Stegostoma tigrinum: one gene and its partners. The protein of the gene in region 1 interacts with the protein of each later gene in a pairwise test. Links are inferred from orthologs where the notes say so. Each region holds a gene or a part of one and is shown in the gene's direction. Other genes may lie near its edges.

Region 1 (7,615 bases):
ATGAGGTGGTAGGTAGGAAATGGAGGAGCGGCTTGAGGAGGAAGGGATGGGTGAGTGGAAGAACAGGTTAGGGAGGCAGAGACAGGCTGGGCTGGTTTTGTGATGCAGTGGTGGGAGGGGACAAGCTGGGCTGGTTTTGTGATGCAGTGGGGGGAGGGGAAGAACTGGGCTGGTTTTGGGATGCAGTGGGGGAAGGGGAGATTTTGAAGCTTGTGAAGTCCACATTGATAGCATTGGGCTGCAGGGTTCCCAAGCGGAATATGAGTTGCTGTTCCTGCAACCTTCGGGTGGCAATGCAGGAGGCCGATGATGGACATGTCATGTGAGGAATGGGAGGGGGAGTTGAAATGGTTTGCGACTGGGAGGTGCAGTTGTTTGTTGCGAACCGAGCGGAGGTGTTCTGCAAAGCAGTCCCCAAGCGTCTGCTTGATTTCCCCAATGGAGAGGAAGCCACACCGGGTGCAATGGATACAGTATATCACATTGGCAGATGTGCAGGTGAACATCTGCTTGATATGGAAAGTCATCTTGGGGCCTGGGATGGTGGTGAGGGAGGAGGTGAGGGGGTTCTTCCTCTCACCCATCCCTTCCTCCCACCTCAAGCCGCACCTCCATTTCCTACCTACCACCTCATCCCGCCTCCTTGACCTGTCCGTCTTCCCTGGACTGACCTATCACCTCTCGACCTCCTCACCTATACTCTCCTCTCTACCTATCTTGTTTTCTCTCCATCTTCGGTCCGCTTCCCCCTCTATTTATTCCAGTTCCCTCTCCCCATCCCCCTCTCTGATGAAGGTTCAGGCCCGAAATGTCAGCTTTTGTGCTCCTGAGATGCTGCTTGGCCTGCTGTGTTCATCCAGCTCCACACTTTTATCTTGTGTATGAAATTTTGTTTTCCTGAGGTAAGCCTTCATCTTTCCCAGTAACTGTTGCAGTGTAATTGCAGATCTTTAGGCTTTAATTCTAGTCTTCCCAAGAAGGGAAGTATCAGCCCCCTTGCTATCAAGACCCCTCAACATCTTGAAATTATCCCTCACTATTCTGAACTCTAATGGATGCAGACCTAACGTGTCCTGATGAGACCTCTGCTCACTGTCACTATCGCAATCTGCATTTGAAAACTTTCTCCTTAAAACTGTTAGTGAATTGTCATTGAGGGCGAGTTCTGGGGAACAGAAGTCTGTTTCTCACTGCAGATGCTTCTGGACCAACTGTGTATTTCTAATAACTGCAGTTTTTATTTCAGTGCGATGTTCCTGGGTTAGGTGTCTATGGATGCAAATCTCTGAAAGTTGTTGAACAGGGGCAAAAGTGACCAAAAAGTCTAAGGGCCTTTTTCTTGAATGGAATGGAATTCAAAAGTGAGGAGATGTTTCTTCACTTTTATGTTTGGTTTAGTTGTCAATGCAATTTCTATGCCAGAAAATGCTGTAAATACACAATATCTTACAAAGTGAGGAAGAGATGACAAATGCCTCAAATAAGAGTTCTCTGACTCAGGGTTTGCCCTGAAATATTGTCTTGTCGTCTCAGATGCTGGTAAACTTGCTGTTAAATTTTAGCATTTTCTGCTTTTTAAACAGTGGAACATCCATTTTGTTGGAATTTCAAATAATTACATATCTGTCATTGGTTTGAACCTGTGTGAAGCATTAAGAACAACATACCAATAATAAATGAAGTTGTATTATGGATTCTTAAAGCCTCATTTAAGGGGAGTAAGATTTATTTCAAGATTTACTATCCAGGACTCCAAGAATTCTTTACACTTCCCATGCTACTTCTACACACAAACTAATGGGGTTAACTTTGCTTGGCTGATATCACTTATTAACTGATTTTGTTCTGTGAATGATCAATATCTAAACACATGAATTGGTATGTTGTGATCCACTCTATTAACTTTGTAACAGATTAATTTTCGCCAGCAGTAACATCGGGTCACAAATGAACTGAAATGTGGGATCATATAAATCAGTTTATCTCTTATATAAAATGTTTCATATCTGGCTCTCTGTTGAGGTGTACTGCCTGTCTAATTTTTTAGTTTCTGTCTTGGCATTAATTTTCTTTTTTACTGTTGTGGCATTCTCGTTTTCTGAGATTACTTGAGCATGTAGTGTGCTAATTAAGCAAAATGGATGCAAATTGTCCCATTGAAAACACCCAGCATGGCTTCACAAGAGGTAGGCCATGTTTAACTAATTTGGTGGAATTCTTTGAGGATATTACTTGCATGGTGGACAATGGGGAACCTGTGGATGTGGTGTATCTAGATTTCCAGAAGGCATTTAATAAGGTGCCACACCAAAGGCTGCTACATAAGATGAAGTTCCGCGGTATTACAGGTAATATATTGGCATGGATAGAGGATTGGTTGACCAATAGAAAGCAAAGAGTAGGGGTAAACGTGTGTTTTTCTGGTTGGCAGTCAGTGGCTAGTAGTGTGCCTCAGGGGATCAGTGTTGGGACCTCACTTGTTTACAATTTACATAGATGATTTGGAGTTGGGGACTAAGTGTGGTGTGTCAAAATTTGTAGATGACATTAACGTCAGTGACAGAGCAAAGTGTGCAGAAGACGTTGAAAGTCTGCAGTGGGATATAGATAGTCTAAGTGAATCGGAAAAGGTCTGGCAGATGGAGTACAATGTTGATAAATGTGAGGTCATCCATTTTGGTAGGAATAACAGCAAAATGGACTGTTTTAAATGGGAGGGGAAAAAAAGTAGCACACTGCTGTGCAGAGGGACTTGGGCGTCCTTGTGCATGTAATGCTGAAGGTGGGATTGCAGGTGCATTAGGTGATTAAAGAGGCAAATGGCATTTTATCTGCCATTGCTCGAGGGATGGAGTTTAAAAACAGAGGCGCTATGGTGCAGATGTATAGGGTCCTGGTGAGGCCACACCTGGAGTACTGTGTGCAGTTTTGGTCTCCTTACTTGAGAAGAGATATACTAGCATTGGAGAGGGTGCAGAGGAGATTCACTTGATTGATTCCAGAGTTGAGAGGGTTGGATTATGAGGAGAGACTGAGTAGACTGAGCATATACTCATCGGAATTCAGAAGAATGAGGGGAAATGTATAAGATTACGAAGGGAATAGACAAGGTGGAGGCAGGGCGGTTGTTTTCACTAGCAGGTAAAATTAGGACTGGGGGGCATCGCCTCAAAATAAAGGGAAGCAGATGTAGGACTGAGGTCAGGAGGAACTTCTTCACCTAAAGGGTTGTGAATCTGTGGAATTCCCTGCCAAGTGAAGTGGTTCAAGTTACCTCGCTGTATGTTTTTAAGGCAAGGCTAGATAAATTTCTGAACAGTAAAGGAATGAAAAGTTACAGTGAGTGGGCAGGTAAGTGAAGCTGAGTCTCAAAAACCAGCCATGATCTTATTAAATGGCAGGGCAGTCTCGAGGGGCCAGATGGCCTACTCCTGCTCCTCGTTCTTATGTTCTTATGAATGATGGTTTCTGTAAATATTTGTACAGTTAATAGATCTTATCCATTCGAAGGTAGATTGTGCTTTGTAGGGAACCATGCCCTAGTTATTAAATTTTTTATACTGGAAGATTCAAAAGTGGAACTGGGAGTGTGCAAATGCACGTGCAATTCAGAGGTAAAATATGCAGCAGTACTGTAATCGTAACAAACTCGAGTTTATTTGGAATTATTTGCTGAAGCGGCAACATGTTTTGTCTCTGTGGATTGCCTTGATGCATCACCTAATTGTGTAGATTGGTTCATGAACATGTTCGAAATCCTGGGCAGCAAAAAACAGAAGTTGCTGGAAAAGCTCTCAAGTCTGGCAGCATCTGTGAAAAAAAAATCAGAGTTAATATTTTGAGTCAGGTGTCCCTTCTTCAGAGCTTTGAGGAAGGGTTACCAGACTCGAAATGTTAACTCTTGAGTTTTTTTCTTCATAGATGCTGCCAGACCCTTTGAGCTTTACCAGCCAACTTCTGTTTTTGTTCCTGTTTTACAGCATCTGCAGTTCTTTTTTGTTTTTATTTGAAATCATGGGGACTGATAACTTCTAATTAATCTAAAAGTTTCAAAAAAGACTTAAACTGGCCTCTCACACATCCTTCTTGTTGGAAGTTATATTCAGTTTTATTTCAAGATGTTGGTTGAGCTATCTGCAATTGCTTTTTTTTGCATGTGAAAACATTCAATTCAAATACATATCCCTCTCAAACTGTTGCTGCATGTTTATTTTGTTTGATTAAAATTCAGATTGACAAACAGGTTGAATTTTTGGCCGGTGGAGCAACTGAAACTCAGCAGAAACTTGACAAAGTTCAAACTGCCCCTATTGTTCTGTCTTGCAGTACAGTACTCATTTCCTCACAGTCACATGATATGTCGTGCTAGAACAAGAGGGAGCTGTCAGACCAGCAGTCCAGTTCTTCACCGTTGTGTCTAAGATCAGTTTCCCAGAGTGAAAGCTGGAGTGTCAGGTATTTTCAGTTTTACATCTTTTCAAATTGAACTAACCAGCAGCTGAATCATTTGAGTGTAGATGAGATTGTGTACTTACTTCAAGCAAACCAGAATAGTAACTCTCCTGTTCACCAGTTAGTTGCGATTCCCTTGCTGAATTGTGTTGAAACTGTGTGTTGTTAATATTGTGGATTTCTGAGGGGTTAACCTGTTAGTCTTTGCTGGGCAGTGAATTCTGTAAATTACTCCTTGGGACTAACATCAGTTGCTTTTTTTTGTTTTAAAAATAAGAACATGTACAATCATATGTAAGTAGCATTAAAATGCTTGTCAGTAAAGTTAGAAATTCCTTACTGATCACACAGGCAGAAAAGCCATGTAAACATTCCACCCCATGCTAAGTGTATTTGGTAAGAGCTTGTGAATTTCTTTTAAAAGAAGTTGTTTCAGTTTCAAAACTTAGAGCTCCCTCGCAATCACAGACACGTACTCAGTTGGCATGAATTTGGGAACAGAAAGGAAGTAAAATGCAAGAGAAGTGACCCAAGTACAGCAGATTGTGATAAGGGTGTGCCATGCTATAATTTGCAGAAGCGCTTAATGCATTAAAAGCTGTCATTTGTTCATACCTTACGCACATATTTGGCTTTGTGTTGCCTCTTGTATACAAGTTTCTGGATTGTTATGCGTGCCCATTGTTCGAGCAATATTCTTTAATACCAACTTCACTTTATTTGTAAGCATTTAACTGCAAAGAAATTGTGAAATAATCAAAGCTGGTTACTTCCCTGAATGGCCTGTACTTTTTTGAAATTGGTTTCACTTGAAACCAGCTTTGTTGCAATGCACTTTGATTTTCAAATCCTACAGTTCTACTGTGTGCTGGTTTATTTCCTGGTTAAAACTTTCGTAGCGCAAGCTAATTCAGTCAGTAGTATTGTGTTCCCTTTTGAGACTTGCCATAGAGTCATAGGTTCATACAGCATGGAAACAGACGCTTCAGTCCAGTGTGCCAATCAGACATCCCAATCTGATTTAGTCCCATTGCCATCACTTGTCCATATTCCTCTAAACCTTTCCTATTCGTGTACTCATACAGATGCTTATTAAATGTTGTAATTGTGCCCGCTTCCACCACTTCTTCTGGTTGCTTGTTCCATACATGTACCACCCTCTGCATGAAGAAGTTCCTCCTTGGGTCCTATTTAAATCTTTCCCCTCTCGTCTCAAACTTATGTCATCTAGTTTGGGACTCACCCACCCTGGGAAAAAGACCTTGGCTATTCACCGTATCTATGCTCTTCATGACTTTATAAACATTACCAAGGTCACCCCTGGCCTCTGACACTCAAGGGGTAAAGAGCCGCAGCTTGTTTAGCCTCTCCCTGCAGCGGAAACCCTCCAGTCCCAGAAACATGGTGATAAACTTGAGCAGGTTCAGAAAAGATTTAACACCTTCCTATAGAATGGTGACCAGAATTGAATATAATATTTTAAATGTAGCTTCAGCAATGTCCTGTACAACAGTAACATGATGTTCCAACTCCTGTATTCAATCTACTGAACAATGGAGGCAAGCTTGCCAAACGCTGCCTTCACCACCCTGTCTATCTGTGAATTCAGTTTCAAGGAATCGGGCACCTGCACCCCTAGGTTTCTGTTCAGCATCACTCCCCAGGGCCGTACCATTATCTGTATAAGTCCTACCCTTTTTTGCCTTTATCAAAATGTAATACCTCATGTTTATTTAAGTTAATCTCCATCTTCTACACTGTCTACTGTGGTGTCATCTGCAAACTTCCCTCTGATATTCACATCAAAATCATTTATATAAATAACAAAAAACAGTGGACCCAGCACCGATCTTTGTGGCACACCGCTGACCACATGCCTCCAGCCCAAAAAGCAACTTTCTATCACCACCCTCTGTTTCCTACCTTCAAGCCAATTTTGAATCCAATTGACTAGCACCCCATGGATCCTATGTGATCTAAACTTAGTAAAAGTCTCATAACTTTTATGAGCGATATCATACTTTAACATTGAAATACTTGAGTACTGTACGATTTCTAGAAAACAAATTAGATACAGCTGGAATAAGATCTGATGCAGCCTTAAGAGAAGTATTGCTGTTTGTCAGGTAGATGGCGTTTATGGTGGAACTGTGTTAAAAATGTTGATTAAAAGACTGGCATTTATATGGCGCAGTTCAAACTTTTGAATGCTTCATATAGCTTTATGACCAGTTAAGTAACTGCAAAATGCAGTAACTGTAAGTGAACAGCTAATTTGTGAACAACAGTGAACTAAACAGTAACTGGCAGGCATTTAGTACCCCTAAAGTGAAAGGGCCCATGGCTTTTTGTGCGTTATTGAACTAAATTCAACATCTAGCAGCATGGAGATATTAGGAAAGGTGATCATAGCTCATGAAAGAGGTAATTTTAAAATGGAAAGAAGTGGGGAGACAGAGGATAAGGAAGTCAACAACCTGTGGTTTGGGTTTGGGCAGCTGAAGAAGCAGCCACCTTACAGGAGTGATGGCAGTTACGACGTATGAGAGAATGAAATTGGGGGAGTGCGGAGATCTCAGAAAGGTGGAATAATATAAAAACAAAAAGAATTTTAGATTTGAGGACCACTAGGACTTGGAGCGGTATAGATCAGCGAGTGAGTGATAACCAGATGTGAGATATATAAGGAGATAGATGAGGCTCTGTTTTACAATCATATCCAAAAGATAAATGTATCACTTCCTCAGTCTTCTGATTCTGAATTGAGAGTCCTGTTGCTGAACTTACAGCTGACACATCTTTACTATAACTGCATCCTGGCTGGCACCTGTTGGGTTTATCTCAACTTAGCTGCTGGCAGTAGCTGTGAGCTTTAGACAGAGGTTTTCATTTTTGTAAAATTGGGATAGACTTTACTTTGTGGCAGATGGATGGTTGTTTTATGTTCATTACAGTTAAAAATATTTCCACTCGAATGAACAGTCTGCAACTTTTCCAAATGTGTTTATCTTAAATGCACAGAAACTTTACATTGGTTCATGTATTTCACTGCTGTGTACTCCAGCAATGCCACGTTATAGCAAACTGTGGAAGCTAGAAGTTGCTGACAGATTTCCACTTTAATAATGATGAGCACTGACTAGCTTGACTGTTCATTCTACTA
Region 2 (8,169 bases), on another chromosome or scaffold:
ACCCCTCACTCCCACCCTACCCCTCACTCCTGCCCACCCCACTCCCACCCCTCACATCACTCCCACCCCTCACATCACTCCCACCCCTCACATCACTCCCACCCCTCACATCACTCCCACCCCTCTCAACACTCCCACCCCTCTCAACACTCCCACCCCTCACCTCACTCCCACCCCTTACCTCACTCCCACCCCTCACTCCACCCCACCCCTCATCCTCACCCACCCCTCATCATCACCACACCCCACCCCTCACCTCACTACACCCCACGCTACCCCTCAATTCACTCCCCATCGCTCCACACCTCACTCCCCCCATCTCACTCACCTCTTCATCTCATTCCTCAAACCCATCCCTCACACCTGCCCCCATCCCTTCCATTGAACTGAAAAAAAAAGCGCAAAGAGCTGAAATTCACTGTTGGCCAGCGACCGGTACCACAAATAAAGCCAAGAGGCCACTGTCTCTAACCACCCTCCCTGCCCCAGCAGCCTGGAGGGGCCAGGGGCATACATTCAACTCTGATTAACTTTGATGCCAAATAACCAACAGAATCTGCAAAGAGCTAGCTCTTGGTTTCCCGTGAGTGATTGTCAATGTCTGCATTTTTGGTTGTTGTACGTATTTTTAATTTTGTATCCAAACATCCAATATATTGCCTGTTAATGTGGTCAACTTCACAATCAGTTTGGTATCTGGGGTGGGGTTGGGTTGGTATCTGGGATTGGGATTGGGTTGGTATCTGGGATCAGGATCTGGTTGGGTTGGTATCTGGGATCAGGATCTGGTTGGGTTGGTATCTGGGATCGGATCGGGTTGGGTTGGTATCTGGAATCAGAATCGCGTTGGTATCCTGGCTCGGGTTGGAATCTGGGATCAGGATCGGGTTGGGTTGGTATCTGGGATCAGGTTGGGTTGATACCTGAGATCGGATTAGGTTGGTATCTGGGATCAGGTTGCGTTGATATCTGGGATTAGATTAGGTTGGTATCTGGTATCAGGATCTGGTTGGGTTGGTATCTGGGATCGGATTAGGTTGGAATCTGGGATCAGGATCAAGTTAGGTTGGTATCTGGGATCAGGTTGGGTTGATATCTGAGATCGGATTAGGTTGGTATCTGGAATCGGGATCTGGTTGGGCTTTAGCTGGCAGAGGAGCTAAAAAAAATGGAGAGTAACTGGTTTCTATTGTGTTTTTCAGACTGGCAGAAAACAGAAGCTCAGAAAAGACGTGAGCAGCTCTTACTAGATGAACTAGTTATTCTGGTTAACAAACGGGACGCGCTTGTCCGAGATTTAGATGCACAGGAAAAACAGTAAGTTACTAAATTAAGAAAAGTTACTTGGTGGGAATGAAAACCGAGCCTTTCGCCTGCACGTTATCCTCCAACTTTCCGGGTTGAATGTATTCAGTATTCGATCCTATCCAATCTAGCTTTAGTTTTTGAATGTTGCATTCTTCAAGAGTCAGGTCTCTTGGTGCTGCCCCAGTCCCTAATGAAGCCTGTTTGTGTGTTCCAGGGCGGAAGAAGAAGATGAACATTTGGAACGAACGCTCGAACAAAACAAAGGGAAAATTGTAAAGAAAGAAGATAAGTGTCTCATTCAGTGAGAGAGATGCACTAGAAGATCTCCCATCATTTACACACACTTTCACTCTCATTTTAATAAACTATGTGATGGATTTGAATGATATCATGTTTCAATTAGATTGTAAACTGTTGTATTTTTTTTCTGTCAGAGCATTTAATCGTCCTAAGGCCGCAGGTCCGTCATATGGCTGCATCTGTCGTTTTTATGAAAGTGTATTTTGTAAAAAAAAAAGCCGCGTGTAATTGTTTTATTTGTAACGGTGACATTTAATGTTTTATCAGTTACATTTGGGAAGAATTCCCTGCTCATTAAGGAGGATAGGAAAAACACCAAATAGTTGCGAAATGTAGCAGGACAGTTCCTGATTGTTTCTTATTAACACTGAGACGGCTTTCTGTGCGCCGCACTGATCTGCCTCAAATGGATGTTGGATCAGATTTGATACTGTGACCGGGGAGGTTGGCGGTGGTTACCGGCTTCTGAACGTTACTGTTTTACAGAAACTGCGGAACTCCAGCCTCTGGGTGCACCTTTGAATAAATTGATCGCCATCAGTTGTCAAAAAGTGAAACATCTTCAAGAAACAATCTCTAAACCGGAATGTTTGAGCTTGCTAGTTGCTGCATTTTCAATATCTAGGTTTATTTCCATTGAATATTGGAACGTTTCATTGGAGCTGTAAAGTCCGGTTTTTTTTAAAATATAAATAGTTGGCTTTTACAGAGCGGCTATGTTGTAAATGATATTATCTGAAGTTAGTTTTAGTTTAAACTCAGAAAAGGGCTGATGACTTTGCACCCGGTTGGTGCGGTCAGTTCGTTCTCTGGTGTTTTCTATGTATTTATTACCCGGAACAGCGCGAGCTGCTTGTTTAAGCTCCAGGTATTTTGCTAAAACGTTTTTGTTTGGCTCGAAAATGCTTGTTATTTGTCTTCCGAAAGCAAAAGCAGTTCTCTAGAAGATCGGAATCATTTTCAACACGTTTCTCTGCACCAACCTACCGTCAATAAAACTGCTGCTTGGGGGAAGAAATATTTCTGTTTATTTATTCCAGGACCGCCTCTGAATCTTGAATAAAAAGTGAACTTTGAAGCGTTTTATGTGGACAGAATCTGTTGTTGATGCTTTAGCCTAATCATGTTCATACAGACTTGCGACTTCTAAATTTGAGTTATTTACATAAATGACTTCGATTGGGGAGCGATTTACTTTAAATTGGAATTGTTTAATGCATAAATAAAAGTTTTCCTTCGCTACAACCAAACCGGTTTAAGTTTTTTAACGATTGCACGTCAGCAATTCCATCCTGGTGGGTAAAAGCTCCATGCCCAGGCTGAAGCAGGCGCACAGCAAAGTCAGAAAAGATACCTGTAAAGCGTCTCCTACAGCAGTTTTCCCGGGAACTCCTCCCGACCGTCTGAAATCAAAATCAAAGTTGAAAATCCAAATCTTTGTTCAAAATCCCAACCAAAACCCCGAGGTTAGTTTTCTAGCTGCACCTGGCTGGGTTTCTGCCCCTTTTTCCTGTTTTTTTTTCATTCCCTGCCCTGCAGATTCCTCACGTGTGGGGCCCATCTGCGGTGACTGTACTCTCATGTTTTAATTTCTGCAATAGCCGCCGATTGCAGTCATTTCAATCGACTTTTTTAAAAAATATTGCTCTAATATCGACATCTTTCAAACAATTAAACAGATGATGTGTTTTTGTAATGAACTAATAAATATTCGAAGCTGAACTGAACAGCTCGATCAACGGCCGATATACCCCTTTCTGTAAACATTTCTAAATGAACCTGATGTCTCTCATTCTCAAACCCTGCAGCTGTCAACCAGGAAACGCACCAGGCACGAAGCTAAAGTTTAAAGTGCGCGTCTTGATGTTGTTTCCGCGGTGTCACGGAAATATTGAAAGGACATTTTCTGTTTGAGGCTCGTTCCTAAAATAATTTGATAGGATACATTTCTTACACGACGCCAATCACATCAACTAGAGCTCGTAGCCGTTAGGAGCTGAACTCCCTTTGCACATTCCAAATTATTACACTGTTCGTTTCGGTTTCATCGGCGCAAAACATTTCGGATTTTCTGTGGTTGTGTAACTTTGAAATGATTTTTCTGTGAAGTCATTGCAGCAAAGAGGTGAAACCGGCCGCTAGCCATTAACTTTGTAACATCACACATCAATGTCTTCAACTGGAGAAGCAAATCTTTTAAAGTCGCTTCTAAGTGAATCCCATTACTGTTTTTTTAACTCATTTTGAGACAATGTCGGACATTACCATCCTTCCCGCGGCTAGTGTGGACAGTATCTTTTTAATTTGTTAGTGGGGACTATTAATTACTTTGGAGGGAGATTAGCACAAGGAAGAGACAATTTTACAGACACAATCTGTTTAGATGGCAGAGCTTTTAGTCAATGTATTGAATGAGGAATTTCTGTTGTGACACCATTCGAGCCGCCGCCTTCAGAACCTGTAACACTCAACGCATTCCGGCGACTTTCAAATTCATTTGCTGTGTCTAGTTTTCCAGGACAGTTCTGGCCCATCAGTAGCATTCCTGCCACCTCAGTCTGTCCAAAAGCAGGCTTTTGGGGACTGTCGAAAATCAAACAATCTGCACTGGCACCGTTTAGCATCGTTATCACATGACACACAGACCTGCAGAAAGTCTAACCTTCAGCTAAAAGGACGTCCACGCCTCGTGCCAAATATGTTTGAGCCGAAATAAAAATTTTATTTTGTTAAAAGTGCACAGACTGAACTGAGATGTCAGCAAAGGGGCTGCGGCCCGTAACATACGCATGATCCTGGACACAATTGGTGCTAATTATTCAAACTTCCAATTGCACCGTGAGCGCTGGAAAATTCCTAAATCATTCCTAACTTCCCGGCTATAATTTCTACACCGCCTGGAATTTAACAATTATGACTGTAAGTAGTTGTCATCCTCTCCGTTCTTACCTGTTTGCTCCTGGCCGCCCACAGTAAGCAGCAGATTTGACAAACTCTCTGAAAGGGCTAACACGAGGCTGGGAGCCGCAGTTTGAAAACTTTTCAGCGCTTCACCTGGTGAACAAGGAGTTGATGAAGGGATTTAGTCGCGATCGAGACTGGAGGAGTCTCTTGTGAATTTTACATTTGGCCCCTCGGATGTATCTAAATGCGGCTGCAGGTGATGATCACTGGGATTTCAATTCCCCCCCCCCCCCCCCACCACCTTTTCCACCGAGCCAGTTACACTATCCCAGTTTTATCCCTATCCCTACACTATCCCATCCCTGTGTAAAGCAAGTTAAACCAAGTGTGGCCGTTATAATCGGCCCGCCGTGCCGCTCCAGTGCCACGTTACACCACATTCTTAGTTTTGTCTGTACCAAATCTTCCGCAATCTCTGACTTCTACCTTTTGATGCAATAACGCACATCTGTCCCTCTCCCTGTCTCTCCCTCCCCCCTTCCCCAACCCAGGGTTTCAGGCTCGGCTTTAAGAAAATTCGCCTGCAATTTCGGATTAGACAAATACTCTTCTTACAAAGGTTAGTGCTACTTGATACTATAATACTTAACACAGGCTTGATCAGCGCATCTTAAACAGAGACTTCACACAATAAAAACAATCAGTAAATCCCTGGGATTGCTCCAGAAGTAAACTCGATTGTGTTTCATCAGACAAATTAGCAGGATGTTTCGTTTCCTTAATGCTGGTTAAAAGGCAGGATTTTTAAAATGTACATCTTTTAAGTATGATTTAAACAGAGCAGTACAACCGAAGGTTTATGTACAGAACAGTTCAATCCCAGCTGCGAATATGGTTAGCCAAATAGTCTAACAGAAAGGTAGAGAGTATACCTCAGTTATCAACAACTGAACAATAGGAAACAGTGCGAAACTGTGCAAGCCGTGTACAGAATGAATTAACAATGTTCATGTGAGGTACGATCTTATTTTTTTTCCGAAGGCATTAGCTTTTTTTTACGTTTAGCAAATACTGATGTTAATCCCGAACAATTTCTAATTATTTCGAACAGTCGGTTGCGTCTTTCTTGCTCATGGTAACGAGATCTTATTATTATCATGGAAATAGCCTGCCTCGGTGCAAAATTATGTTCCTTGAAGGTTTCACTTCTCAAACGCAGGCGAAAAAGAAACCAAAACAAAAAAAAACTTCCAGCAAAGTGCATTATTTGCTAAGTTGGGATTGAATTGACCGCTGGTTCTTTTGTCAGAAACGGTGCTCGTGTCGATGACTTTCAGTGAACTATTGGGAAAGTCTTGTAAAACCTTCCTTTGATGAGCTGCTCGGTAAAGCAAAAAATGTAATTTCGTCTTCTGGCGGTTGGTTTCTTTGAACATTAGCTCGCTTTCAGTTCCCGCATCAATTAGAATGAGTTGATTTTCTGTGAACAACAAAAGAGTGACCAAAGCCTTATTAAGGTTTTCAGAAGAACTCACCGAGCCTTTCAAAACCAGTTAAGGAAACCCTGTGCCCCTCCATGATATTCTGTTACCGTATGTTATTTGTTCACCAAAGAAAAGTGACGCTTGAAAAGTGGTTTCTTTGATAACCAGCAGCCGACAGTCCTTCTCGAATTCATTTATTTCCCGCGTCGGCGTATTTTTTCTTTAGAAATTTCGATTAAAGGCAGTCTGTCCCATTAAAGTTTACGCTGACTATCCCGAAATGTAAAACTAAATGGGGATTAGGCCGTCATCAATATTCATGAGAACGTACAATTTCAAACACAAAAAAACCTCGACATTTTTAGGAGTAATTATTTTAAAAGTACGACTTGAAAATACAACCGTATTAAAATTCCGGCCCTTGTTATTTGCTGGAAAGGCCCGAAAGAGAGAGATTTCCTGGTTAAAACATTCGTTTACCTGAAACTAAGTTTAACATATCCTCAGCTGAAACCTTAACAGGACATGGGGGGTGGGGGGGGGGGGGGGGGGAAACCAGCTGATTTCTCAATAGAGGTTCATACTTCTCCTTTATTTCATGTATTTATCACAGGAAACTCGTAACGAAAATGATGCGGACAGCCAGGTTTATTTTCTCGCAAGTCAGTGCCTTGTTCGCTAATAATGGTGCACATCCCACCGGGCTGAGAAACAGATACTGAATAGGTGCCAGTTACACTGATGTGAGGTGACAGAAAACCGACTTTATGAATGTTCTCTGAATTGTTTAGTCTCACAACAAGCTGCTAGCTGTATTGCGTGAATTTCCACAGCAATAATTACCTGCTGTAATTAAGTGGTGGCCGCTCGGGTTTCTTCATGAATAACTTTGCAGCTTGTCCAGAAATATGTAGCTGACAGATTGTGACTACTTTCAGAGGAGCTTTTTACCCAGCGATGGGCAAGTGTATTCCTCCTCTGGGAAAGTAGTGCTCCGGCGTCACCTGGAGACGAGCTGTCAATCATGAACAAGTCGCCGGGTGATTGGTGAAGGGCGGATCATTGTCGGGCAGTTCCGCCAGAGCAGCGCTCTCTTAGAGAAGGCTGCAGTGATCAACTCTCCATTGAGTCAGGTCCAAACAAACACGGAACGACCTGCAACTTTCGCTTCCCCAGCCTCTAGGCTCGCAGCAAGTTTCTCACTTTGCTGCTTGTTTCGTTTCTGGGGTGGGTCTGTTTTGGGAAGGGGGGTGGTGGGTGTTTGAATTCAGTCCCACCCGCTCCGACCTAACCTTGTTGCGCGTTGTGCTACAGAATAGACAGCAGGCTCCTGCTTGCGTTTTACTGAGTTCTAGACTCCAGGCCTGGTCTAAAATATTCTCAGGTGAGTGTGAGACTCCGCGGTATTTATTCATGGGGGGTGGGGGGCAGCAATCTCAACGAATTAGTGTGAGGCTAGGGAGTTTTTCTTTGAAGGGGCTAGTTTGAAAACGACCTCAGATTGTGAACTAACTTGTGACTGTTAAAGTACAGCTCTCTATGGCTAACTTTGAATTTTTTTTCCCCCTTGTATTTGTGTTGTTAACTAATTCAATTTTGTAACTGACCTGACTCCTCCTAAAGTACTTGGATCGTTTAATTTGTTTCATTTTCTCACTGAAAATTACAATTGCAGCGTCCAAGGGCCGATTGAAAAGCTTGAGTCCACTTTAGCGGCTAATTGGAGAGGCGTGTTTTTCGTTTTTTTTGTTCATTTATTTTGCTGATAAGGTTCCTCCTTTTAAATTGCGTCCCCTGAGGTCTAATCTAAATTGTAATTGACTTCATTTGCACACGGCTATCGCCTTTTAAATGAGAGCACGGTTTTATCTGGGTTCTGTGGAGGTGGAAACTTGGGTTAGGAAACTGTTGATTGAGAATGCGGGTTAATTTTTTTTTTCAGCTAAGTGCTCTGATGTTATCGTCGCCGTATGGAGGACAACTTTCATTGAGAAATGTCAACATTGAATATTCAGGGTCGATCTAATTGTTTTTTTTAAATTGGCGGCTGCGTTTTCTCTTTTGAAAGGAATTTGTAGTGTTTCCCTTTTTTTGATTTAGCAGATTGTGAAATAGTTACCTGTTTTCTAAAAGTCCTTCAGTGTCAGACGATGGAAACGAGTTTAATGAAACT
Region 3 (7,945 bases), on another chromosome or scaffold:
ACCCCGACCCGAAACGACAGCTTTCCTGTTCCTCTGATGCTGCCTGGCCTGCTGTGTTCCTCCAGCTCCACACTGTGTTATCTCTGACTCTAGCATCAGCAGTTCTTACTATCATTTTGTGGTATTTGTTGTATTTGTTTTTCTCGCAGGACAAACTCAGTTTAGAAGAGATGAGGCTCTGTGCTAAACGTTGACCAGCCATGCAATGGTCTTTCCTGTTAGCCAGTCAACCTTCTATCTAGATCAATATGCTACCTGCATCATGAGCTTTTATTTATCACAAAAACCTTTGATGTGACACTTATAAAACGTAAACTGAAGATTGAAGTTACGATGTTTATAAGGTATTTGGATAAGTACATGAATAGGAAAGGTTTGGAGGGATATGGGCCAGGAGCAGGCAGTGGGACTAGTTTAGTTTGGGATTATGTTTGGTGTGGACTGGTTGGATAGAAGGGCCTGTTTCTGTGCTGTATGTTTCTATGACTCTATGATATCAGTGATTCTTCTTTATCCACAACACATCCCCTAAGTGCTCCAATAGGTTGGACAAGCTTGATGAGCCAGATTTCCTGGTGAGTGGCAATCTCACACAGATTACCCTCCAACCTGTCCTTTTTTATGAAGCAAGGAAGCTCTGCATTTCTGAGAGTACATTCCCCTCAGGTCTCATTCAGAAACATGAAGCTGTACTTCCATTCCGATAGTTCTTTCTTAACGCAGACCTCTCAGAGGAAAACAAACCACATCTTCATTTCACAGCAGTCAGCTGCCCATATTCAGAAACTTTAAAGATCCTGACAGTCACTTTGACAGCTGCTCTCAAAGGCTCATTGTGTTCACTGAATGGGATATGAGGGTGTTGGGAGGGGAGGGTGGCAGGCGGGTAAGGAGTAGATTGTCTGGAGGTAGGGTACCGTAGGATAAGGTCTCAGATGGATGGATGCCGTGGGAAGGGAGTACAGGGCCAGGTAAGTGATACTGTGTCCAGAGAATGTCAGGTATTGGTGGGGGGGGAGGAGAAATCGAGGCTAGCTGAGGGTGGGGTGAGTGGCTGTTGAGATGATTAGATTAGATTTCCCTACAGTGTGGAAGCAGGCCCCCTGGCCCAACAAGTCCACACTGCTCCCCCCACCCCCGAGCATCCCACCCAGACCCATCCTCCCACAACCCACACACCCCTGAACACTACGGGCAACCCCGCACAGCCAATCCACCTAGCCTGCCCATCTTTGGACTGTGGGAAGAAACCGGAGCACCCGGAGGAAACCCACGCAGACACAGGGAGAATGCGCAAACACCACACAGACAGTTGCCCGAGGCTGGAATTGAATCACGGTCCCGACGCTGTGAGCCCACAGTGCTAACCACTGAGCCACCGTGCCGCCCCGATCTGGGGGTGGGGAAGTCAGGGTGGCTCTGACAGTGAGCGGAGATAGTTGGTGGGATTGGTGAGTGGACAGAAACAGGATGGTCTGCTTGGGTCAAACAGCAGGGAATTGGAGTGGTGGAATGGGGTCTGGGGCTTGGACAGGGTATGCATTTCCAGGGGAGAAGGGGAGGACATTGGATCGGGGACTGGGAAAGTTGGCAGGGTCTGGTGTAGCGGAGTCAGGCTGGGTCAAGCTGGCCCCAAAGGAGGGAGAGGGATTTCTGGGATCTAGACCTGGGATTTAGGTCTAGGCTGATGAGAGTCAGGGCTGCAGCTGGCAGAGGGAGTGTTTGGGGTTTAGGGTGGGGATTGGGTTGTGGCGAGTGCATTGGATCCCCAGGGCAAGGGTGAGAGGGTTGTTGGATCCTAGGGATTTACTGGAGGGGAGGGCTCTGGTCCAGCTCCCTGAAGGGTGGGGCCTGGGGTGGGATATCAGGTCCCAAACGGGGTATCAATTCAAGGTCTGGAGGGTGTATGAGATCTGGAGGAGGTATACTTGGTCAGATGTGTTTAAGTATGGGGTGAGTAGTATAGTTACGCTGAAGTTAGACTAGGTATTTGATAGGCTAACTTTTCCTGAGTCATTATTTTACTTAATTTTGTCAGAGCCATTGGAATCTGCAATTAAAGTGAGATTTTCAGGGGATCCCAGGCATAAGGGGATTTGCCCCGAGGAAATGCAGTTTTCCAGGTAATTCCTTCAGTGTGCACCCACGTACATCTCAGAACTACGTTAGCACAGCAGCTGTCTCGCCAGTCACAAGCCCATGCCTGACTTCTCTTTCATAAAAGATAACAAGGCGTAAAGCTGGATGAGCACGGCGGGCCAAGCAGCATCAGAGGAACAGAAGGCTGACGTTTCAGGCCTGGACCCTTCTTCAGACCCGAAACATTAGCTTTCCTGTTCCTCTGATGCTGCTTGGCCTGCTGTGTTCATCCAGCTCCACACCTTGTTATCTCAGATTCTCCAGCGTCGGCAGTTCCTACCATCTCTTCTCTTACATAAAATTTTGTTGATTCTACCTGACTACATTGACTTTTTAAAGCGCCCTACTACAAAGTCTTTAATCATAAATTCTAACATTTCCTCTATGACAGACTAACTGGCCTGCAGTCAGCATAATTCTGTCTCAACTTTTTGAATAAAGAAGCTATGTTCAGTATTTTTCAATCTAGTGGGACCTTCTGCAAATCTCAAGGAACTTGCAAAATAAAAACCAACATCAAATATCTCACGAGCAACTTCTTTTATCCCCACAGGATGAAGTCCACTAGGACCTGGGGATTTTTTGTCAGTTCGCAGCTCCAATAGTTTGCTCAGTATCACTTCCATATTGTTAAATTTGATTGTAACTCCCTTGAGTTGCTCCTTTCCTTGCAGTTTCTGGCTTACTGCTATTTCTAGGATGTTACTTACATTCTTCATAGTGAAGACCGATGAAAAATACTTACTCAATTCACCTGCCATCTCCTTATTTTCCATTATTAATTCCCAGACTCACTTTCTATGCCGCCAATGCTCACTTTGTTAACTCTTTCCTTTTGTGAACACTTATAAAAACTATTACTATCTGTTTTTAATATTTCTAGCTAGCTTACTCTTGTGCTGTAATTTTCCCACCTTTGTTAATCTTTTTGTCATTCTTTGCTTTTTTTAAAGCATCATGTCTAATCTTCAGAAATGCCAGCCAACTTTGTGCAACTAAATGCTTTTCCTGTCAATTTAATATTTTCTTTACCTGTTCAAGTTAACTGCAGATACTTTCTCCTCCCGTTGGGATTGTTCTCGCTCACTGGAGTGCACCTATCCTGTACTATCCCTTTAAATATCTGCCGCTGCATCTTTATTGACTTATCCTTTAATTTAATTCGCTCTTTGACTTTAGCTAGCACTGCTTTTGTGCACTCGCAATCACTCTTATTTAAGGTGTTATTCCTGGTCTTGCGCTCCCACTTGTGCACTACTTCTGAAGTTAAGTGGTTTGCTAGTTTGAGTTCTAGAGTTTGGCTGTAGAACATCCCAACAGTACAGCCCACTTTCCCCATTAGTGCTGCCAATGACAGACAAACTGGGAGCCACTTCTACCACATCAGAAGTTGAACCAAGCAATTACTTCCCTAATCTTATTTACTATGCAGCAATTTACATGTGGCTCAGGTTAGTAACGCAGGGATGTCACCTCAGCCACAGGTCTGGGCAGGCGCCAATATAGAACCCAGTGACTCCAGGTGAGAAATTATGCCCAGTTAATTCTTCGGCTGGTTTAGTCAAAGACCCCATGCCATTGCTGCGTGAATGCCAGCAGAGTTCACCTGGTGTTTTGGCCCAAACCGATCCCTCAACCAACACTGCTAAAAATAAAATCAGCAGATCGTACGATGAATTATCCAATCTCTATTTGCAGGATCTTGTTGAACACAAAATGACATGTTTCGGCGCAGTCAAAGTCAACTGAACTCAAGTATTTGATTGGTTGTAGTTACAACTGGTTTGAGGTTATGGCGGGCACAAGGTAAGTGGAATTTCTATTGTTCCTGAAGCTTAGGGTCTTGGCTCATTTACTTGACCAAGGTGTGCAGCAGCTCCAATCCACCAGTTGAATTCCAAAAGCCATCCTGTGCTGCTCTATTCAGAGAGAAAACCCTTTTAACAAAACCGGGTCATTTTAGTCATGAACATGTTGCTGTTTTGGGGTGCTTGTTGTGTGACAATTGACTGCCACATTTCCTACATTACAACTGCAGACTACCTTTCCAAAGTATTTCATTGGCTACAAAAGCATGAGGGGACATCCTGAGCTTGTGAAAAGTGCTAGAGAAATGCAATTTTGTTTTATTTGTTCACACGAGTTGCAGCATCAACAGCAAGACCAGCGTTTATTAGCCAATCGCTGTTTGTCAACGGCAGAGAGATGTCAAGCATTTGCTGCAGAATCCCAGTTCCTGACCTGCTTCTGCAGCCACAGTATTTACTCGATTGATCAGTGGTGACCCCAAGATATTAATGATCACCGATTCGTGATGGTAATGCTGTTGACTGGTAAGAGAAGGCGGACAGACATTTTCTAAGACATTCCATCCCCAGGATGTGATTTTCCTTCAGCTTCTAGTGCAGTAGCTTCACCTCACATCTTTTTTAGAGGAGCAAGGGGGCACTTTTCAAAGGCAATTATTGAATTGATGGTTGTTTTGTTAGGGTTATGCCATTATCATCCTGCTGACCCAACCAATCTGACTGCTGGAAAATGTGTCGCAACAGGTTGGTTTATGAATCAATGAGGATGATAGTCAATACAAACAAGAACTAGATCCAGCCAAGGGCCTGGTGGTGAAGGGGTTAATTCCTGGCTGCAGCAAGAGTGACAGCTTGGTGTTCCTGTCCCTGTATGTTTGTGGCTGTGTGTTTCTCTGGTTTCGGTTCGGCTCAGGAGTGCAGAGATGGCCCTCTGAGATTGATGCCATCGACGTCAAAACCAGCTGCCTCAGCAAGCATTGTGTTCAGGTACTCTGGGCAAGACCGTACAATCCGAAAAAAGAAACACCCCGATATGTTGCATTTTTTTAAAGATAGCAGAGGATAGCCCGTGCTCCTGCCTTCACTGCTTATTATGGGTTGCTGCATTTCCAGAGGTGAGTCTGCATTGTGAAAAATAACCACTTACACTCGAATCAGACTACACCTCTTGTTGTCTGCATGCATTCATCCCTCTAGCTGTGGTGTTAAATAGCTGTCCTGAAATTGCAAGGCGACGCTGTGCTATATGGTGGATTAGATCAATCTGGTTTGGTGTTACTATGGTTACACGTATCAATGGACCAGGACCTCACTGCCAGTATCAGGGCTTTGTTTGAGAAATGCACTGAGCACAGAGCAATAAGGCAAGGATGCCTAATGTTACGCACAGGGCAGGTTTATCAGAATATTCTAGAAAAGGACGGTCACGTTTTCTGTGCTGGGCTTTTGAAATATGTGGTATTGCAGTCTCCTGCCATTGTGGTCAAAGAGCTGTGAATCCTATCACCGTCCTTGATAACTGAATCAAATGTGATGCCAAGGGAGTGTATCAGCAATCACCATCAGCAGCTGGCATGCCTGGCATTTATGACCCATCTCTGATTTCTGTAAGGCAAGCAATTTGATGTGATTTAGCAGCTTGCTAGTCTGTAGGATTTTGAACAGCCAAGGTGAGACTGCAGTCACGCAGACAACAGGTCTGCTCCCTTATGGGACATGAGTGAACAAGTTTAATTTTATAACGGCCTGACAAATTTTTTTTTGAAGGAAGGTCCAGACCCATAACATCAGCTCTCCTGTTCCTCTGATGCTGCCTGGCCTGCTGTGTTCAACCACACCTTGTTATCTCAGACCCCAGCATCAACAGTTCCTACTATCTCTGAAAAATTTGTATTTGCTTTTACAGATACAATGTATTTAAGCCCAGATTTTATAAACTAAACTCAAACTACAAAGTGAAGTGAATGTCTAAAGTGACTTGAACATTTCAGGTGCATAGATCTTTAAAATGTCATGAACAAGTGGAGAAAATAATGAAGAAAGCTAATGTAATGCTGGCCATTTTATCTAGAGGACTGGAATACAAAGGTGCAGAAGTTATGCTGCAGTTATACAAAAACCTTGGTAGACCCCACATGAAATATTGTGAGCAGATTCCGGCACCACACTTTGAAACAGTATATTGGCCTTGGGTGAATACAAAGTAAGTTTACAGAATGATGCCAGGGCTTCAGGGGGTTAAGTTATGGATGAAGTTATACAAATTAGGCCTATTTTCTCAAATTTTTAGAAGGAGAAGGGGTGATCTGATCAAAGTGCTCAAGATATTATCAGGAAAAGACAGTATAGATGAAGGTAAATTATTTCCACTGGTTGGGGATTCTAGATCTAGGTGGTATAATCTAAGAATTAGGGCTGGACCTGTTCAGGAGAGATGGTAGGAAGCACTTTGACACACAAAAGCTGGTAGATGTTTGGAACTGTTTTCCATTAATGGCAGTGGATGCTGAATCCATTGTTAGTTTTAAATGTGAGATAGATAAGTATTTGTTAAGCAAAGACATTAAGGGATATGGGTCAAAGGCAAGATATAGAGTTCGGCTACAGATCAGCCATGATCCCATAGAACATTAGACCACGTTTGATGGGCTGAATGGCCCAATCCTGTTCCTATGTTCCGAAATGTTCAGATTTCCCCCATGATATCTGAATTCATGCCTTCTGCATTATTCATTGTTCATATTGGCAGCTATTGGAAGTTCTTATTTGTTTGATAATGCAGAGCTTTTTGTATTGGTGGGAAAGCCAACGTTCACACTGCATGAGACGAGAATGCTGATTGGTTAGTAAGTGGTGTCTGATTGGTAAAGACTTGCCATGGAGAGTATAAGCATTAATGCTGATTGGCAGTTAACAACCAGGCTTTGATTACATTTTAGCATGGCACAGCATGGTGACTCAATGGTTAGCACTGCTGCCTCACAATGCGAGGGACTTGGGGTCAATCCCACCCTCGGGTGACTATCTGTGTGGAGTTTGCACGTTTTCCCCGTGTCTGCATTGGTTTCCTCCCACAGTCCAAAGTTGTACAAGTTAAGTGGATTGGCCATGCTAAAATTACCCATAATGTATAGGAATGTGCAGACTAGGTGGATTAGCCATAGGAAATATGGGGTTACGGGGATAGGGCAGAGAAGTGGGACTGGGTGGGATGCTCTTCAAAGGTTGGTGGGACTTGATGGGCTGAATGGCCTGCTTCCACAACATTGGGATTCTATGAAACTGGATAGTTGGCTTTGACTGGTTAGGGCATTGCTCTGAGAAATAAACAAGTGAATGGCTGTGACCTACTTTATTGACTAGAAACAAGTGTAGTATGTACACATGCCTGCATGAGGTGGTCTTGTTTACATTTTAAACAAAGCTTGGCTGTTAACTGTCAATCAGCATGTACTGGGTGCATTTTCAAGGCAATGCTTGGACCAGGCAAAGCCCAATCAGCACTCTCCTCTCAAGCAGTATTAATACTGGTTTTCTCCTTGAATTGAATTGATGAGTACAAGATGAATATCTTCGACTAAATGAACCTTTTCAGCAAAGTCTGGGAACAGGAAGGGAGAAAATTTAAAGCTGCAAGAGTCAGTAAAACAAAGGGTAATTAATCTGTGATTGAAATGAGTTGAAGAGGGAGAAGGTAGAGATAGGGAAGGGCAGGAAGAGTGAGCGAGTGAGAATAGAGGGAGAGAGAAATGTGTACGGAGAGGGAGAGATGGGGGTACAGGAGGTAAGGATAGTGAGCAGAGGGAGGAGTAAAGGAGTGGGGAGGAGTAAATAGGATGTAGGTAAGAGACGGAGTGAACTATAATCCACCTCACTAATTGTCAGTCTGCCGTTTAACCGAAACTACAAAACAAGCTAGACATTGAGAATTCTTGAAATGGAAGTCAAGTCCCTGGCGACTTTAGCTCACTGCATGTTCCAAAGGGCCTCCATGTTGG
Region 4 (7,606 bases), on another chromosome or scaffold:
ATCCACTTTGGTTGCATGAATAGGAAAGCAGCTTATTATTTGGCTGTAAATTGAGAGAGAGAAAATTTCAACAAGGATAAATTTATTCTTTCAAAGGGTCGTTAGCCTTGGAATTCTTATATCTGTGAGTGTTGGAGTCTGGATCATTGTTATTTGCAAGACTGAGTGAGAAAGATTTTTGATCTAATACGAAGTTTTGGATCATGGACGGAAGGCAGGAAATTGGAGTTTATGCTAAAGTTAGCTTAATGAAGCTCTTATTAAATACTGGAGCAAGCTTGAGGTGGCTGAATGGCCTCAGCTTTTGATATTTCAACGCAGCCAGACAGTACATTTCACTTTTTGAAGATATGCACCCCAATGTTCATAGGTCTCTCACCCAACTCAGCATCAGATCATCAGTTTATTACTATTTTCAATCAACCCAAATCAACTTTATTAAATCTCTGACTTTATATCTAGTTTTATATTCCTCCTTGTGATGTCTCCAGTCAGGTTGCTGCGCCTTCAAAGCATTAGCTTGTCCCAACATAACCAATAGTAACCAAACATAGTATTCCACCTGTACATTAATTTTTATATTTTGGCTGCTACTCCCAGACCCAAGATCATTACTCCTATTTGTTCTTACTCTCCTTTTGTTCTTTACCTCTCCTGTCATCATGCCTCCCTCTTCTTCATCTTCAATTCCCTGCAATCTCAAACATCAATTCTTCAGTAACTACTCTCCTACATTCCTGCTTCAAACTTGGTATCAAATACTCTTAAATAAGCTTACTCTTGTTGTTTATGCACCAAACTCTGAGTGATTATTATGACTTTGTGCCATTCTTCTGCCTCTTCCCTGTAACCCTGCACTTTTAAATAAGCCTCTTTAATGCTTCAAACACTTCCAGGCATTTTCTGTCATGTCTGTGTTTGTCTTGAGCTATTATGGATGTGTTCTCTCAGTCAAATTCATGTCCTTCTTTGTACTGAGACCAGTGAGAATTAGTCATGTCTCTTGGTGGCTAGTTGGTGTCCATGTATCCTTATTGCCAGTTTTCTTCTGGTTTGGCTTATTTAATGTTTCTCTCAGTCCTTATTTTATATACTATGTTGGATTTGTTGGTTTTGGGTATAGGATCCTTTACATCTGTCAGTAGCTGTCATAGGGTGGCTGTTGGTTTGTGGGCTACTCTGACACCTAGGAGTCTGAGTAGTCTTATGGTCATCTCTGATATGTCCCTGATGTGTGGTAGGGTGACTAGTGTGTCTGGCCGTGTTGTGTCTTCTTCTTGTGGTCTGTTGCAGATGTAACAGCAGTTTGTGCTTTTGGGTATCCATTCCTTTTAAAAACTCTGTATAAGTGTTCTTGTTCAGCTTTGCATAGTTCCAGGTTGCTGCAGTGTGTTGTGGCCCATTTGAATAATGTCCTGATGCAGCTCCATTTATGGGTGTTGGGTGGCTGCTGGTGTTATTGAGTTTAAGGTTCTTGTGAAGATTTGTAGCTTGGGTTGTGGATGAGTTTGTTGGCTTACTCGCTGAGCTGGATGGTTATCATACAGACCTTTTGTCACCATGCTAGGTACCCATCATCAGTGCAGACTCTGATGAAGTGAAATTGTTCTACTCTGCTTAGTATTTGTGTAATCTGGTCTGTTAAGTTGGGTTGTGTCATTTCCAGTTCTGCTCTGCATGGGTTTGTACATGAGGTCTAATTCAACATGTTTGTTGATTGCACTACAGGTTGAAAACTAGGCCTGTACAAATTCCACACTTGTCTGTGGTTGGCTTGAGCTGGTATGGTCACATTGTCCCAGTTAAATTAATGGCCTCCATTGTCTGAGTGCACTTTGGTGGGGAAAGTTCATCGTGTTGTTTTGCTGCAACTGGTGTTCGTGTATCCTGATGGCTGGTTTCCTTCTGGTCTGGCTGATGTAATGTTTGTTGCAGTCATTGCGAGGTATTTTGTAAACTACCTTGGTCCTGCATGTCATGGGTACAGTGTCTTTAGTCCTTGAGTGTTTGTCGTAGTGTGGCAATGAGTTTGTGTGCTCCCATGATTCCTAGTGGTCGTAGGAGTCTTGTCGTCAGTTCTGATATGTTCTTGAAGTAAGATAGCATGGCCAGTGTCTTGGGGAAGACTCTGTCCTCTTGGCATTGTCTATCCAGTAGGCACCTGCACATGAAGTTGTTGGGATATCTGTTGTTCGCAAAAACCTTGTATAGTTGCTAATTCTGGCATGAGTTGTGGTCCTTTTGAATAGTGTCCTAATACAGCTTTGTTTGTGGACATTGAGGTGATTGCTGTGGAAATTGTGAATTGGTCAATGTGAGTTGCCTTCCTCTCTTTTTTATGTGGTTTGGAACTCCCCATTGGTCATTTGTTCTACCCCTCTTCTCTCGTAAATTTGATCCCAGTGACAACATTGTTGATGAGATGGTGTGTCTCTTCTAATTTGGTGCATTTAATGATGACAAACATGTATCGGATCCACAGTTTTGGCTGTATGAGGAGGAGGGTAGTGTGTTCCAGTCTTTGCATGACTGCCTCTGCGGTAAGTCCTGAGGTGGGTGACCCCATCGGTCTGCCATTGATTTGTTTGTATATTTGGCAGTTAAAGATGAAGTATGTGGGGAGGCATAGGTTCAGTGGTCTGAGTTTGTTGTCCTTGCTGATGGAGCTGTTTGGAGTTGGTGTAATTAAGTATCTGGTCCGTATGGTCCTCTATGTACACCGGTCTGGAGTTCCCCATTGTTCTTGCGTTCCACCATTATATCTAGGAAGGGTAGTTAGTTATTGTTCTCTTCTTTTGTGAAATTTAATCCAGTGAGGATGTTGTTTGTATGTTGGTGGGCTGCTTCTTGTGCATTTGATAATCCCAAACGTGTCATCTACATAATTGGACCTAGAGTTTGGGTTGCATAGTGGGAAAGCGCTGTCATTTCTAATCTTTGCATTACTGTTTCTGCTATCAGTCCTGATATCAGAGATCCCTTTGTTGTTCTGCTGATTTGTTTGAATATACAATCGTTGAAGTTGCAGTGGTTATGAGGCACAGATCCAGCGATTTTAGGGTACTGTCGTGGTTGATGCGGTTGGTGTCACAGGGCACCTGCCTTCCTGAATTCGACTTGCAGTGTGGCAATTGTCTCTTTGGCTAGATCAATTGTTTATAAAGCTTCTCAAAAAAAACTTTGAAAAACTGGTTACGTCCTGGCTAGATAACTTCCAGTCAAGTTTCTACCACATTACCAAATTGTTACATCAACCTGGCTCTGAGTCAAAGTGTACAGCTGGATGAACATAGCAGGCCAAGCAACATCTGAGGAGCACGAAAGCTGATGTTTCAGGCCTGGACCCTTCATTAGAAAAGGGGGAGGGGGACAGGGTTCTGAAATAAATAGGGAGAGAGGGGGAGGAGGATCGAAGATGGATAGAGGAGGAGAGGTGGAGAGGAGACAGACAAGTTAAAGAGGCGGGGATGGAGCCAGTCGAGGTGAGTGTAGGTGGGGAGGTATGGTGGAGTTAGGTCAGTCCGGGGAGGACGGACAGGACAAGGAGGCGGGATGAGGTTAGTAGGAAGGAAATGGAGGTGCAGCTTGAGGTGGGGAAAGATAAGAGGAAGAACAGGTTAGGGAGGCGGGGACGAGCTGCGCTGGTTTTGGGATGCAGCAGGGGGAGGGGAGATTATTGTGGCACTAATCAGTTCCTCCCGCATCCCTAACCTGTTCTTCCTCTCACCTATCTGCTCCTCCCACCTCAAGCCACACCTCCATTTCCTTCCTACTCACCTCATCCCGCCCCCTTGACCTGTCCGTCCTCCCCGCACTGACCTATCCCCTCCCTACCTATATTCCTCTCCACCTAGCTTCTCCACTATCCATCGTCGGTCCGCATCCCCCTTTCTCCCTATGTATTTCAGAATCCTCTCCCCCTCCCGCTTTTCTGATGAAGGGTCTAGGCCCGAAACGTCAGTTTTTATGCTCCTGAGATGCTGCTTGGCCTGCTGTGTTCATCCAGCTCCACACTTTATTATCCCGGATTCTCCAGCATCTGCAGTTCCCATTATCACTGAGCTTTTCTATCAACTTGTGTTTTTGCTCCCGATTCACAGCATCCGTAGTTCTTTAGTTTTCGAAACATCTCATCTTCCAAAACTATCCGCAATCTTAGAAATAGTTGACCTCAATATGTTTCTTTAATGTCTAATTGCACTTTCTAACGTTTCGCCGCATCGACTTGAATGGACTAGTTGACGGCTCTCGCTGGAACGGTGACGTCTCCAAAGAGAAAGCCCCGGCCCGCTAGTACACTGATTGGCTGGCTCGTCTTGTGAATATTAATATACGACGGTACGCCTGAGTCTGAATGCTCCATCTGGGGGTGGGGTTGTGTTTCACGCCTGATCGTTTATTGGTCAAACATCCATGCATGGGGTCGTTCTGGGAACGATTATTGGTCGGTCGCTGTCAGCTTGAAAGCGGAAGGATGGCGGATGGGGAGCTGTGGAGAGTGAGTAAGGGCCTTGACTGGGATAAGGTTCCTGGGAGCACTTTTCGCCATAGTTTTACATACTGTTATTATGGGAAAGTAGGTGGACATCCAGTGCAAAGATTAAAATGACTTGGTTTCTCTAATGGATCTGTGTAAACGCTCATTGCTCTCTGAAGTCAGGACTCCGCTCATTCAGACACAGTACTGCTCAGCTATATTTTACTGTGGGGAGTTTAATTCGGGTTCTTGGCGCAGCAATGACCTTTACTTAATAGTTTATGGGGTGGTCTGTAAAAGTGCCCCGGCCATCTAAACTGCCTACCTTGTCCTTGCAGCCTCCTCGAGTGTGCGACGATTATCGGAGTGAGTGGAAACACTGCCGGAGTCTGAGAAATCTCTTTCATCACTATTACACATTCGGAAAGTTCCCCTCGTGTAAACAGTGGAAGAAAGATTACAACAGTTGCATGGAATGGGAACGTTTTAAGTCTATCGAAGCTAAGGTAAAATTTGTGAAAATATTATACAAGCAATATAACTGGATTTGGCCAAATACCATCCTGGTAACGTTCAGAACCACGCACACTTACGAACATACCTATTTTGCTTATTCTGTCACATTGCTGTATTCTTCTGAAGGCAGAATTCTGCTCGGTGTACAAGCAGCTACCAGCCATCCAACTGAAGTAATAATTTTAAATGCATAAACTCTCATCAATGAGTGTTTCTCTGGAGGGCCTCACACCATTTTTTCAACCTTGACCTGTGACGCTTAAATGCCAATCGCTAGTATGAGGATTAAAACTGGTATTGGGCACCTTGGTCCCAACTTTAGAAAGACAGTTCCAGCTACCCAAACTTTAGTTACACAATAACTATTTAATGCTGATTAATAAAATATTCAACAAATGAAGAGTCATACTGGACTCGCATGTTATTCTTTGTCTCTTCACAGATGCTGCCAGACATGTGCTGAGTTTCCACTACTCTTTTAAAACTTCAGATTTCCAAAAGTATTTTGCTTTTATTTGAATTAACAAGTAATCTATATAACATCCTCACTATAATAAAACGTACCAAGGTGTTTCACAGCGTTGTACGACAGAGCCATATGGTAATATTACGTGTTGACCAAAAGCCTGGTTAAAGAGGCATGTTCAAGGAGTGCCTTAAATGAGGACAACATGTTAAAGACAATGCCATGGGGTTATTAAAATTGGAAATGTGCATTTTGAATTAGATGATCAATATGAATGTTGTGAAACAAGAGGAGACTTAGAGGGGCCACGGGAGGATTTGTAAACCATGAGAATTTTGAAATTTAAGATATTTCAGTGGGAATCGGTTATAGGTCAGTAAGCATTGGAAGGTAAATTAAATTTATGAGTTTAATGCAGGCTTAGCAGCATTTTGGATGATCAAGCTTACAGAAGGTAGTATGTGGGATGCGATCCCGAGAGTTCATTGAAAAATACTAGACCGAAAAGTGTAAATATGGGTTTCAGCAACAGGCAAGCTGTTGTGGAAGTGGAAATAGGTGATCTTGGTTAATGCTGGCAGAGGAAGGTGATGGCCTAGTACTAATATTGCTAGACTGTTCATCCACAGACCCAGACCTGGGTTCAAATCCTGCCATGGCAGTTGGTGGAATTTGAAATCAATAAAATATCTGGAATTAACAATCTAATGATGACTATGAATCCATTGTTGATTGTTGGAAAAACCCATCTGGTTCACTAATGTCATTTAGGGAAGGAAACTGCCATCCTTACCTGGTCTGGCCTACACATGACTTCAGATCCACAGCAATGTGGTTGACTGTGAATGCCTTCTGGGCAATTAGGGATGGGCAATAAATGCGTAACCAGTGACACCATCACTGTCAATGAATAAATCTTTTTTACTTAAAGCTAAAACTTGTGTCGAAAGTAGCTACTAATGTGGATCTAACTGCAAGTTTATTTTAAATTTACAGATAGCTTTATGTGAGAGTGAGAAGAAGAGGTTAGCAGAACAAAAGATACACTTTCCAATCTGGGTGATGAGGAAAAATCCACCAGCTGAATGGCATCTACCCCTAAGTGACAAAAAAGAGGAATAGCTGGAGTTGATCACATCTGGAGTCACAAATCGCCAGTCATGCAATACAGCTTTTGTGAGCATGTCAGCTCCATTCTGCAGTGCAACCTATATAACTGGTTTTAGGGGAACCCAGATGGAAGCAGGTTTGAGTCTTGAGAACACTAAATAACCTGGATTCACTTTGATAGGAACTAGATGAGGGTGGCAATCAGAATGTTATACAACTCTCTCAATGATTATGCTGCAGTAAAGATGTTTTCAATAAATAAACTGCCAGCATGTAAATTTCATTAACTTCAGGCTCTTGTGAATGCTTATTTTATCTCTGTGAGATGCTTAGAGAGGGTGTTCTAGAGTGACTTATGTAAGAAATTAAGATCTAATTTGAGTTGGGCACCAGTCCAGATTTCACTTTTTTAAAAAAAAAAGTGGTGGAGATAACCTGAACTAACATGAGGTAGTGTTATTGCATCAACAGGGAGCAATTTAAACAGAGGAAGCTTTTTAAGCTCATGCACAAATTGTAAACTATCGTAGGTATGAGGGAAGAAATTATCATTACCATACTTTCCTTATTGTGTTCATTCTGATACGAACATTATTTTTTTCATTCACGGAATTATGGGAGGCACTGTTAGGCCAGCAGTTATTGTCCAGACAGTCAATCCCTCACTGTGGAAGTGGAATCAAAGTAGGCCCTAAGTGGGTATTAGTGAATCCGGTCTTTTTAATGACAATTGACAGTAGTTACATAGTTCAAACTCACAAAGCTAGACCATTAGACTGAGGCCTGGATTATTACTCCAATAACATTACAACATCACTGCCTTCCCAGATTTACCAGACACCTACTTTACTTTATAAATAAAGTAGATAAAGGAAAAAAAAAATCAAAATATAAATATACAAATAAAGTTATGAATATTTGTTTAGAAAACACAGCTCTGGTGGTCTGTCCAAATATTATTTTGCAATTGTTTGATTTTTGACTGTCTGACAAAGATCTGAATAGAATTCTGATTAAGGTAAATACGTTGGCCAACA

The links.
Region 2: the proteins of progranulin (region 1) and otx1 interact in binary tests that used the Homo sapiens proteins (3 or more experiments, as listed by UniProt). The two-hybrid records come from large-scale screens. The link is inferred for Stegostoma tigrinum from reciprocal best matches to the Homo sapiens genes GRN and OTX1.
Region 3: the proteins of progranulin (region 1) and fam131c interact in binary tests that used the Homo sapiens proteins (3 or more experiments, as listed by UniProt). The link is inferred for Stegostoma tigrinum from reciprocal best matches to the Homo sapiens genes GRN and FAM131C.
Region 4: the proteins of progranulin (region 1) and c26h22orf39 interact in binary tests that used the Homo sapiens proteins (3 or more experiments, as listed by UniProt). The link is inferred for Stegostoma tigrinum from reciprocal best matches to the Homo sapiens genes GRN and C22orf39.

The regions. Positions count from the first base shown.
Region 1 is NC_081384.1:30,757,862-30,765,476, reverse strand, and holds the start of progranulin, read left to right. Parts: upstream 1-4,326; 5' UTR 4,327-4,455; intron 4,456-7,615. UniProt on the Homo sapiens protein: Secreted protein that acts as a key regulator of lysosomal function and as a growth factor involved in inflammation, wound healing and cell proliferation. Regulates protein trafficking to lysosomes, and also the activity of lysosomal enzymes.
Region 2 is NC_081362.1:1,438,114-1,446,282, forward strand, and holds the start of otx1 (homeobox protein OTX1 B), read left to right. Parts: upstream 1-4,868; 5' UTR 4,869-5,528; intron 5,529-6,609; 5' UTR 6,610-6,744; intron 6,745-6,913; exon of another isoform or gene 6,914-8,169. Other genes in the region: ehbp1 (EH domain-binding protein 1), read left to right, coding at 1,203-1,317, 1,523-1,613. UniProt on the Homo sapiens protein: Probably plays a role in the development of the brain and the sense organs. Can bind to the BCD target sequence (BTS): 5'-TCTAATCCC-3'.
Region 3 is NC_081381.1:31,605,120-31,613,064, forward strand, and holds the start of fam131c (protein FAM131C), read left to right. Parts: upstream 1-4,681; 5' UTR 4,682-5,040; coding exon 5,041-5,062; intron 5,063-7,945.
Region 4 is NC_081379.1:43,403,201-43,410,806, forward strand, and holds c26h22orf39 (UPF0545 protein C22orf39 homolog), read left to right. Parts: upstream 1-4,372; 5' UTR 4,373-4,417; coding exon 4,418-4,498; intron 4,499-4,815; coding exon 4,816-4,983; intron 4,984-6,455; coding exon 6,456-6,581; 3' UTR 6,582-6,856; downstream 6,857-7,606. UniProt on the Homo sapiens protein: Negatively regulates long-term potentiation and modulates adult synaptic plasticity. Stabilizes the interaction of RTN4 isoform A/Nogo-A with its receptors, inhibiting clustering of postsynaptic AMPA receptors at synaptic sites.